2 linked regions of the Danio rerio genome follow. The protein of the gene in region 1 purifies or fractionates together with the protein of each later gene. This does not show direct contact. Links are inferred from orthologs where the notes say so. Each region holds a gene or a part of one and is shown on either strand. Other genes may lie near its edges.

Region 1 (6,603 bases):
TCTTTTTTAGGAAACCTAAAGGTATGAAACAATTACAATCTCTTCAAATAAATAAATCTTAATAAAATAAAATAAAACACTGACATTTTGGTAAAGAGACTTTCAGAGCAACATCTCAATTAAATTGTCAGATGCTAAAAATATCACAGGTACACCTAAGAATGTGCAGTATATAAAACCACACCATGCACAGACATGCCAAACATGCAGTCTCATTCTTGCAGTTTAATACTCACACACTTTAGCCTGCATAGTATTGTCTATGTTGATTAGGTGTACAGATCTACTATTGATTCCTCATCTGAAATCTGCCAAATTCTGTGATAGAAACTTAATTTTCTGTCAGCGTTATCCACACTGAGGAACTCTTTTACTAATTAAATAAGTACAAACATAGACACAACTTGCCTCAGCCAGCATATGTGTGAAACTGTGTCTGCCCTTTAAGCCAGAGGAAGCAGTAGCCAGTAGGATCTGAGTGTGGATCTCGCTGCGATCCACCTCCTGTGTGTCTGGTTGAGCATCCACTGAGCAAGAATAAATAAGGCATAGTAAATGACCACACACCTGTATATTCAATAGTTTTCACAGCACTATAGGCCAAAGAGGCTATATTAGGCATTTCCTTGAATTTCCTTACTGATATCTTCCCAACAAACTTATGTAGTAGTAATTTCTAAAACTGCTATTTTTCAGTCAGTTATTATTTAATAGTTTATGTGTATTTAGCAACTATAGTAGATAACTGATTTCTACCTGAAAGTTTCAGTAAAGGTCTTTCAGTTTCTTACATGTTATGAACAAATACAGTACAGATTTAAACTGAATGTGTAAAACTCAATCTGAAAAATCTCATCTTTCAAATTCTGTCCAGTTTATGATAAAATTCATCTCAAAATGCTGTTTTGATGCTCCTTGCATTCTTCTTATGTGCAATATAAGTTCACATTTTTTTCCATTTTTGTCAAGCATTTAAGTAAAAAGCATCTGACTTCCAACAGTTTTGGCATCTGATTTCAACAGTTGTTTCCCAGCACTAGTGGTTCACGAGTTAGTGTACTCTCAGTGCTGGGGTGCAGCTGGAAGGCCATCTGCTGCATAAAACATATGCCGCAGTAATTGTTGGTTCATTACAATGTGGCAACCCCTGATAAATCAGGAACTAAAGCAAAGGAAAGTGAGCAAGTGAGTCTCTTGTTAATTTTTAACTTTTAGTATAAATGTATGCAGTTCAAACCATTGCGTAGAACTGTATTTATTATTGAATGCATATAAAGACAAAAACATAATTGATTTAGTAAACCAGTATAATTAAAAAGATATGATTTTTTTCTCCTGGCTGTACCAAAAACGCATCTAAGCATAATGTTTGCATATTACTACACCCTGTGTTTTATCATACCATGTTAATAAAATAAAGTAAAATAAAATAAATAATGCATAATAATTTCTAAACACTGCACTGTAACTTGGGGTGTCAACTAAGTAAAAAAGCATAAATTAATCATGCACACAGTTCATTATTTACCTGGAGGGTCATATCGATGACCTAACCTCCCATCCCAAGCCCCATCACTGTCCTCATCAGAGTCTGAATATGACTGCACAAGCTGTAGGCCTGTTGCTCCACTTCCATGGACCAGACGTACCTGGCCCCTAGAGTAGACAAAAAGGTAAAACAATTTGCATTACCCATGTGGAGGAAATGCAAAGCAGGTTTACAATATGTTCCAGGATGTTTTACAGTATCTCCACTATCTCATAGGTTCAGAAGGTTATAGATTTACCTTCGCAGTAAGTACGCCAGAACTTGTGCTAAGTCAACGTCCTCTTCAGATCCTGACTGTCTCTCAGCCTGTGTACGACCCGTCTGATTGGCGTTCTGGTTGGCTTCTGGTTCTGACTGGTCTGGGTTGTTGCCAGAGCCCCGACCGGACATCCCAGAACTGGACTGAGAGCCCATAGACTGATTGTCTGCCAAATCATTGATTTATTCCACAGCAATACAGGCAATTACACTCAAGATGAAAAAGCAAGATATTCTATAAAAGAGTTTCTTCAAGTTTCACCAAGTTAAATGTAAGATTTTTAAGACATTTTTAAGACCGTTATGAGTTAAATTTTAAATTCATAAAGAGCCAAAAGCTTAGGATTTTTTTTATTGCCCAGGAAAAGATTTTTATTTGCCCTATCACTAATATATATTTTAAATAATTTAATAAATTTAATAATACAATAATAAAAAAATAAATTGTTTTATATATTTCTTAACAAGGCGAGGCAGTGGCGCAGAAGGTAGTGCTGTCGCCTCACAGCAAGCAGGTCGCTGGTTCGAACCTCAGCTTCATTAATTCATTTTCTTGTCGGCTTAGTCCCTTTATTAATCCGGGGTCGCCACAGCGGAATGAACCACCAACTTATCCAGCAGATTTTTACGCAGCGGATGCCCTTCCAGCCGCAACCCATCACTGGGAAACTTCCACACACACATTCACACACACACACACTCATACACTACGGACAATTTAGCTTACCCAATTCACCTGTACCTCATGTCTTTGGACTGTGGCGGGAAACCGGAGCACCCGGAGGAAATCCACGCAAACGCAGGGAGAACATGCAAACTCCACACAAAAACGCCAGCTGAGCCGAGGATCGAACCAGCGACCCAGTGACCTTCTTGCTGTGAGACAACAGCACTACCTACCGCGCCACTGCGTCATCTCACTGTCTTTTAAATAACTGTAAATGATATTATGTGCTTAAATAGTAAGAGTTCCAATCATCTGTGTCTTTCAACAATTACAATAGACCAGTAGCTTCCAGCAACAGTCCTGGGCAGCATTTGGTGATAAAATAATTGTGCTGCTTAATATATTCGGAGAAACTGTGACATTGTTTTTAGTCAGGCCATTTTAAAACTGCAAAAGAGCAGGAATTAATTTGAAATACTGTAATTTTACTTTTAATTATTTTAATTAATAAATTAATATTAAAAACATGTTGCCAAGTGAACTTTGATATGGTAGTGTATATGTACACAGTACACTTAAGTGAGTGCCAAAAAAGTTCAACCATTTACAAAACAGGACTTTAGAGAAGCTTTCTTATATATATATATATATATATATATATATATATATATATATATATATATATATATATATATATATATATATATATATATTTGCTAATAGCCATTTTCGTTTCATCCCAGAAATAATTTAGATATTACATAAGAATGAAGTTACATTAAGATATTTCATAAATTTCTATTGTAAATTAATAAAAACTGAATTTTTGATTAGTAATATACATTGATGAGCAATTAATTTAGACTTTGAATGTGATCTTCTTCTAATTTAACTCTCAGATTTTCAAATAGTTGATCCTGAGGATCCTAACAAAGTAAACATTAATGGAAACTTAAATATTATGATTCTGATGACTGACACTTCAGACGATTGCAAAATCGACACTGTTTTGACGGTTTTGTGGTCCAGGGTCACATAAAATAAATGATATATTGCAAACAGTGTTATTTTCCGCTTAAATATGTATTTGTCTGTTCAAAAACATATGTTTGATTAATGCAAAATGAATACCACCAAACTAACATTGATGTAGTTTATCAATTGAAAGGTAGGCCTAAGTCAGTTTTTAACATCATATTGTTTAATTGACTTCATTGAATTATGACATTTAATAAGCGATTAAAAATCAGGACAGTAATTGTTGACAATAGACTGTGATGTAACTTGACAGGTGAGCATGCTAAATTGACAGGCTAAAACTGCAAATGACATATTGCGAACATTTCATATAACGGTTTTATATTTACAGACCAGTAGTTTAAAAAAGAAAGATATAAGATTGTCTACGTATTACATCAAAACAGCACTTAAAACAGCTCATTCTTTAGAAGTTAGCGCTCACGCTAGCACTGTAAGCGACCTACAAAAGAGAGGCACTCACCAGTTAAATGGTAACAGCGCTTTGACAGCTCTTTTACCCGTTGGTTTGTTCCTGCAGACCTCGTTAAAAAAACAGAAAATAGTGTTTGCAAAAACTAAGTTTATATACCTGTACGTTCAATAAGCTTAGCGCCGCTGCTTCCCTGAGTTGTTTTTAAGACTCTCCTGGTTCGTGACGCGCCATGTTGTTTACGGTCTCGAGACTCGCCTGCTCACGTGACACACCGACGCTTTCCCACAGAACAAACACAAAGAGAGAGAATTTTTTTATATAAAGCCTTAATCAATAAGAAAAAAGATTATCATAAGCTTTAAGAAATTCATTATTCTTCTTATTATTAATAAACTTAAGAGATTCAATATTTTACGAAATTATATATTAAATTACTAAATTTAAGTATTAAATATAGTTATTGTTTTTAGGAACTTATTTTTGAGTATAAAAAATTTACAGTGTAACACAAAAAAAATTTACAATAAGATCGAGAGCATGATCATTACCTGAGAAATACAGAAATATATCTTCTATAGACAAATTTAAATCATGGGAATTTGTAGAATATACATAATGCAAGATCTTAAAATGTATCTCTCTTATTTTGTTGGATATGCTGAATTTTTCAGGTAATAACCATGCTCTCTTCAGTCAGAATATATATAATATATTCTGTATATAATATATCAGAATATATATATATATATATATATATATATATATATATATATATATATATATATATATATATATATATATATATAAACAAATGTGGATGCAAATAACCAAATGTGGATGCATTTTTTACAGATAATATTTATTACAGATGTTTAGATGAAACAGCTAAAAACTATATATTTTAGTTCAGAGAACCTACATTACAATCTAGATATAGCTCGATAAATGTGCTACATTTATATACATATTTATAGATAGCTTCCAGTGTATAAAACAGTGTTTTCTTTGTTCTTCATGTATTGTGACTATGAGGTGGTTTGATGCTTGAGGCCCCAATTCCCAAACCCCAAATCACTCATACAATAGTATAGAGATCAGTGAAATTAATCCATTTTGGTTGCACTGAGTTGAGTTGATTTCATTGGTTTGGTGGAGTTGCGCTTAAAGCCAATTCATTCATAGCCCTATTTGCTCATTTGCCAGCCTGTAAAATACTGTAAACAAATTTGACAATTTATAGTTGTCGCAACAATGTTTTCTGTTTATGTACACTTTCAAATTGCTTTATGAGACCTGGTGCTCTGCTCTGACAACATTAATTTTAAAAAATGAACTCTGCAGTTAAACAAAGAGATTTTATTGGAAATTGTAGAAGTGGATAATTTAATCATTTATAGACATCTGAAATGTAAAAAATCATCACAATATAACTTTAATAATGACCTAATTTTCAAAATTAAAAAGATAATTTTAAAATTGATCAAGATAATACAGTGTCAGGGATCACCATAGAGACATTAATAAATGACATTTTTGATATTATGACAAATTATATTCAGATGAAATGACAGTATAAAAAGTGTTGAGTAAAAATAATAAGATTTTGTCATATAAAAAAGAAAAAATATATATACCCCATTTTACCCATTGAACATAAAGTAGCTACAATGCATTTCAGAAATATCCTGTCTTAAATACACCATGTAAAAGAAAATGATAATTAAGAATTAGTTTAAAGATAATCAATTAATGACAAAACATTAAATGATAAACATCAAAACACACAGAAAATTCCAAAATTACTGCAGTTACACAGTTATTTTATAATTGTTTGCCCCATTGATGATAGAATGACGATGGAAGCAGACAGTGCATACAACATTGTAAACATTATGAGATTAAATTACATTACTAAAACATTATTAAATTATGAGATTAAATGATTTTTTAGACCTATATATTTATTTAGATATGTTAGTTGATCGTTCACTTTTCTAAAAGACATATGCATTTATGATTTTAAGAAAATATTTGATGGCATGTGTTTGTTTCAAAACAAGCAAAACATAATAATAATTAATTGTTATAACGTTATCGTGTAGCCAGCCATATAGCTTCAGGAAATATTCTTAATACATTTTTAATGATCAGTGAAATTAAACATTCGTGTTTGTAATTTTAAATGTATTATATACGTCAGTAAAAAGAGGACTTTTATTTATAAGACACACATTTTTTAACCGGAAATAATCAGTTATATCCAGTGCCTGTCTGAGTATCGAAAGTTGTTTTGTTGTTTTAAATTCGTGGTAAGTGCGACTGTTTTACATACGTTATCCTCATAATATATGTGGATATATGATTAAAAGACACATTACGAAAATAAATAATTATACTTAGCGAGATATGCTAGTTGATTCAAGATTGTATAAGATTTGTTTTCTATTACAGCGACAGTCTGCTTTTATGACACGGGTTTTAAGTAACAGATATGAAAGGACTAAGTGCAGATTAGTCTAAACACAGCAACGATCCGGTTTTTAGGAAGACATCGTGTTTTAGTAATGATTTAACGTTACCTGTTAGCTGCTCGAGTAAGTGTGTCTCCTTACTTTCTCAGAGTTTTAGTTTTTTTTTTTCTGACGCAACCTTTCTTCCCTTCTCATTTGCTGACTC
Region 2 (5,962 bases), on another chromosome or scaffold:
AAACTAATGTTTATGCACAAATATAATATTGTAAAGCATCCTACAGGACATATTAATTTAAATGAGAGATTTGTGAAGGGTGTACTCATATGCTGAGCACTGTACTTTTAAATATTAACACAATGTCGAACATAACGCTAAAAAACAAATAGTTTAATAGTGCAACAACTGAAATCGGATTTACTTCACTTGAATCTAATTCTAAATATAAATAATTGCACATTAAATACGTTTTTTTTTTTTTTCAAAATGAGAATCCTTTGTCTTCTGGGGGCCTGTGATAAGTGTTATAAATCTCTGATAAGTGTTTATATTAGGACTATTTTGGATCTGTGGGGCAAGTCCCTGCTGCAGTGCATGCATAATTTGTCATATCTCTGAACAGAGAGAAGCAGCAGTTTTATTAATTTAAGGGCCACGAAAGTCCTCTCTCTCAGCAGGTTGTTTTCACACCACGAGTTTGAAAAAAGCCAGGAAAGTGGGTGGGTCCAGATGTGTTTAGGTGGGAGTGTTGAGTGCCAAAAGAGGGAAGGGTTTGCATAAAAAGGAGAGTTTCGCTACATGCACACACTAATTTTCACAGCGGCAACACAAACGCAGGGGAGATAGACAGTGATTCGGAGAGCAACATTTACAGCAGATCTGAGAGCTGTGTGGAAGTGGAGGATTTTCAGTCCATAATATTGTAGTGATATTACTGTAAACATAGAAAATAAATCATTTTGACTATGGTATGTCTTCAAAAACTGAATTAGTACTGCTGACGATACTAACTGACTTTGCCATCTAAATAAACATAAACAAAGAACGTTGATCGTACACTTACCAAATATGTAGAGACAGGACAATCAACACCAACTGGAAACGCATCATTTTTAAAATCCGGATTTCAACATTTCCAGATTCAAAAAGGTCTCGGGTAAAAAATGTTCCTTACAAACATATTCCATTCTGTCACGTGTTAGAAGACCACTGTAATCCACACATATGGGTCTCTATGCGATCAGTGCTTTCATTATGGGAAAACGGAAACAAAACTTTTGTCGCGGCACATTTATAAATGCAACACTGTTGACCCATGTCTCTGAACAATTCTTCTGTTACTACTTGTTTGAAATGGGGTTGGCAACACAACTTGGTGTCTCTAAATTCTGTAACAGGTTAAATGAGTCTTCGAAGCTATATCATGCATATTAATGAAGTCGCATCTCATTCACAATAGAGTGCGCTGATTGGTTCAAACCAAGTCTTTCTCATGAATTAATAGACAGATGTGCTGAAAACTCAACGTCGCTTTGTACCAGCCGGTACAGACAGCCAATCTCTATGCTGGAATTTACACAATGATCTTATCGCTGTGACATCGCTTTAAAATGTCTTTTTAAATCGGAAGAACAAATTTTCTCCAAACAGCGCAAAAACAACCATTTTTAACTTTGTAGTCAAATGCTCTTTGGTGTTTCGTGACCCTTTGACTATATGCTTTAATATTATGGAACTTTTTTACCTTAACCCTGGATCACCAAATCCTGACATTGTGTGCTTACTGTTTTTACTCATCTCCTTTTTTATATAATGTTATACATTTTCAGAAAAGCCCAAATTACCAGAGAATTACACAAATGAGACCTGGCAGAAACTAAAGGAGGCAGTAGAGGCCATACAGAACAGCACTTCAATAAAGTACAATCTAGAGGAGCTCTATCAGGTCGGTGCTATAATAAACTAGCTTTAATATTTTTTTGTAATATTATACGTGGAATCTAATGTTTACTTGTTCTTTCAGGCTGTTGAAAACTTGTGCTCTCATAAGATATCTGCCAAGCTGTATAAACAGCTCAGAGTGGTTTGTGAAGACCACATCAAGGCACAGATTGACCAGTTCAGAGAATATCCTTTTCCTTGCTACACTTTGTATTTATTAATCTGCTGGAATGTTAGATTTTGAGTAAAAGAGAAGAGCACAAACCTGGGCTCAACATACACAAATCTGCAGGCCAATAGTTCTGCTTTTCTTTTTAATTAACATAGTGTTATTATGCTCTCTCGTTCAAGCGTTTGGGGTACATCATATTTTTGAAAGAATCTTCTTTCAAAGTTTTCACATATTTACATTTAATTACAGCAAGGTTGTATTTTCACATTTAAGCATTTATAGCATTTAATATAAAATGACATTTTCATTTAAAAACCTTATTTTAATGTATGTTTTGAAATAGAAACTTTCTGAATTTAAAGCAGCATTAATACTTTATTCAGTATTAACATGATCCTTCAGAAATCATGTTGCGTTATAAATATTTTAAATATTATTCATTATGCTTATTTAATAAATATTTTTCAAAAATTTTATATATAAAAAAGCTTTCATTTAACATCAGTGCTGAAAGTACGTATTTGTTTTTCTTCAAAAAAATGTTTGCAATAGGGCTGCACGACATTGGAAAAATGGACATTATTTAGTTTTTCTGCTATATTTGTTGCGATATGAATATAAATTCACAGGAAAACTCTAGTAACTCTATTTGGAAATAATTCATCATTTCAGTTTGGCCCAATCCCAATTCTACCTCCAAACATTCTGACACTCGATGACATTCGAGTACCCTGTAAAAAAAGTCTAGTGGCTGGGAATGAGCTTTTTACAGCGTCTGCTATAATGTTGATGTTGTTTTTGGTGTGTTTACATATGTAAAAATATGGCCATGGTATAAATGCGCAGTATAGTTACAATCTTATTGCCACATTATATTGTTATGATAACATTGATATATGCCTTCAGTGATTTCCTGAAGATAAATACCAAAAAATAACACAACTGGAATAAATACAGCAGTCACGATCGTCTAATCTCATATGAAGCAAGAGATCGCTATGACATATGATGGCGTGTGCAGGTGTTGTCGTGCTGTTCCAATTCTTAGGGGTACATTTTGAAGCCCTTCCCCTTTTTTAGGGGCCAAGGGGAAGGGGTAGGGGTACAAAAATAAAATTGGGATCGGGCCTTTGATTGAGAGTTTGACTTAGGGATTTGTAGGTGAGTGGTTCTGCATAACAAACACAAAATTACACACACAAAGTCATTTTGCAAGTTTGCAAGGTAGCTTGTGTGCCAAAAATATGTTTGCTTTATAAAAATAATGTTCAGTTAAATTATTTGTTAAAATAAGATTCAGTCAAATAAAAAAAAAATCTCTACTTTTTAATTTTGACCTCAAAAAAACTTTTGCTAGAAAACTGACATACTTTATTATTTAAATTTGTAGGGTAACATTTCTGAGAAATTCTGAAATAATTTTAGGTGAATGGTCATTTATTTAGACTGTCTTGTTTATCCCAAGCTAATTTTGATGTACAATAACTGTGGTGTGAAAGAATTTCTTAACTCTTGCTTTACGGATGCCCTAGACAGTGTTCTGTTCCTCAAGAAAATAGACAAATGTTGGCAAGATCACTGCAGACAAATGGTCAGTCAGTAATTTACTCTAGATATCTTTAATTCTGCTTTTGTTAAAATTTGATGTCTTTGTTTAATGAAATGCTTGCATTCTCTGTTTTCTAGATCATGATTAGGAGTATATTTTTGTTTCTGGATCGCACATATGTTTTACAAAATTCTATGCTGCCATCAATCTGGTGAGTGTCTCTCTTGCAGAAGGATATTAAATTTGTAACACTTGCACTGTCACCCTTGCTGCTGTCTTTATTTACTACCTGTGCTTTACTGCTCCTGCTACTGGTGATTAAAGGTACTCTTGTGCTTCATCTTCAGGGACATGGGCTTGGAGTTGTTTCGTTTCTATATCATCAGCGACCTGAAGGTGCAGAGTAAGACAATCGATGGGATTCTGCTTCTTATTGAGAGGGAGCGAAGCGGCGAGGCTGTAGACCGCAGTCTTCTGAGGAGTCTTCTGAGCATGCTCTCTGACCTGCAGGTTTGGACAATTTATTTAAAGTTTGGGCTTAAATTGGGCTGCCTGCGGACTCTTAAAATGTCTTAAATTTTGAAAGCTAAATTTTAGGCCTTAAAAAGTCTTAAATTTACTGAAATATTGTTGTAGGTCATTAATCATTTAAAAAAGCTCTTAATTTTCCTCTGTCCAACTAAAACTACCCAATTAGGCCAACACCCATCCAATTACCAACAATATATTTAAATAAAAGGGTTTTTTTTGCAAAGATATAGTCAAAACAGCTATTAGACATTTTTACAGAAGATTGTCTATCAGGAAAATAATTTTCTCATGGCAAAATATCCCTTTACATGATCTTCCATTTATACAAAAACTATTTACAGAAGGAGGAGTGGATGTAATATTTATAAATAGGCATGAAACCTAGGGTTTTATAACTAAAATGCAGTTGGTTAAAAATATGTTGAAAAAAATGGACATTAAAATATGTGGCTAAGAAATAATTATAGTCCAACAGGACCATTACAAAAATCAAAAAGTGTTTAGCTCTTTACAAGTCTAAAATTTTGTTCATAATGGCCTTAAAATGGTCCTAAAGTCCTAAAATTTGACTTGATGAAACCTGCCAAAATAATATTAATGTTTCCAAGTTTATTTAAATGTTTTGTTTGTTACAATGTTCAGCTTAAACAGTTTTGTTGAAGCTTTTAAATAGAGAGTACTCAATATTATGTCATATAACATTTTTTATTAAAAACACATGTTGCATATTTTTAAAGCATTAATGAAAGTTATTATTTTACTAATAAACTTTAAGTAGACCATCCAAGGCTACATTCACATTGTGAGGCTTAGTGCTCAAATCAGATTTCTTCTCAGATCTGATTTTTTTGCATGGCTGTTTGCAATGCTCTTGTAAATGTGGCCAATATCAGATTTGCAGTGTGAACAGATCATGGTCCTAAACTGACCCGCATACGCAAAAGTGCATTACGGAGAGCACATGTCTAATTATCCACACACTTGAGTGCTGCATAAGTAAGCCCGTTGTCAGATCATGCTTATATCATTATTACCCTTTTCACAGACAACCGTGGTGTATTTCGGCATTTGAGACCTAAAATGTCTCCTGTGATTAAAAAAAAAAAAAAAAAAAAAAACCCTGATCGTTTGTGATTTATGACAGCCGTGGTGCATGGCGCTCTGACCACCGGTGTAGCGGACTCATCAAGGGTTAATGAGCTGTGAATGCGGAGTTGGTTTATCTCCGTTTGCGGAGTTATTTAATTTCACTTTTGTTATAAACAGCAGACGTGCAGAATGGGGGTTTGGGTGAGAGATAGTTATTCCTCCTTTGCACACAGATCCCCTATCCGCAACACCCACGACGCTATTCAGCTTCGCGATCAACCCGTGCCTCAACCGTTAACCAGATTAGTTAACAAGCACCAGTTTTGCCTTCTAAATCTTTTTCAACATGAACAACCAACTTTCTGTGGTGCCTGTGTGCCATTCTACTGTCCTGCTGAGGGGTAGATGATGTCTGCAGCACAGAATGATGACGCATGTCGCTCAAAGATTATAAAAAAGTTACATGAAATCCGACATAACCGTTCACACTGCGGTCGCACTGCAAAACATCAGATCTGTGTCTGATTTAATACTACATATGAAAGTGGCACAGATCTGACCTGAAAAGATCAGATTCCATGGGGTTAGGGCTGTTCACACTGTCATCACCTGAGTCACAAGGGGAAAAAAATCAGATTCGTGCCACATTTACCTGCAGTGTGAACGTAGCCCTAAAGTACTACAGTCTCAACAAGAGTGAATATTGCAACAGAAACCAAACTATTAAATGTATTCTTGTGGAATGCCATGTTTTTAATGTAATCTGAGAACGATTTTTATCTGGAGAGACTTTAAATTAAATATTTTACATGTGAATCCTTCTAAAATTGTACAATTTTTATCAAAAGTCAACCTTAAAAACTGTTTTGAATGTTGTATCTTATATATTGTTATTATTCTTTATGTACCTTCTTGTG

Evidence for each region. Proteins that work in one complex are often made in the same cells at the same time.
Region 2: the proteins of dcaf11 (region 1) and cul4b purify together in Homo sapiens (affinity purification with mass spectrometry; 9 studies listed by BioGRID and IntAct, counting the BioPlex papers as one, with this or other methods). This does not show direct contact. The link is inferred for Danio rerio from reciprocal best matches to the Homo sapiens genes DCAF11 and CUL4B.

Annotation. Positions count from the first base shown.
Region 1 is NC_133199.1:14,442,086-14,448,688, forward strand, and holds the start of dcaf11 (DDB1- and CUL4-associated factor 11), read right to left. Parts: upstream 4,187-6,603; 5' UTR 3,976-4,186; intron 1,975-3,975; 5' UTR 1,964-1,974; coding exon 1,788-1,963; intron 1,657-1,787; coding exon 1,529-1,656; intron 528-1,528; coding exon 409-527; intron 1-408. UniProt on the Homo sapiens protein: May function as a substrate receptor for CUL4-DDB1 E3 ubiquitin-protein ligase complex.
Region 2 is NC_133189.1:38,067,219-38,073,180, forward strand, and holds part of cul4b (cullin-4B), read left to right. Parts: intron 1-1,592; coding exon 1,593-1,708; intron 1,709-1,786; coding exon 1,787-1,890; intron 1,891-3,397; coding exon 3,398-3,467; intron 3,468-3,562; coding exon 3,563-3,636; intron 3,637-3,772; coding exon 3,773-3,935; intron 3,936-5,962.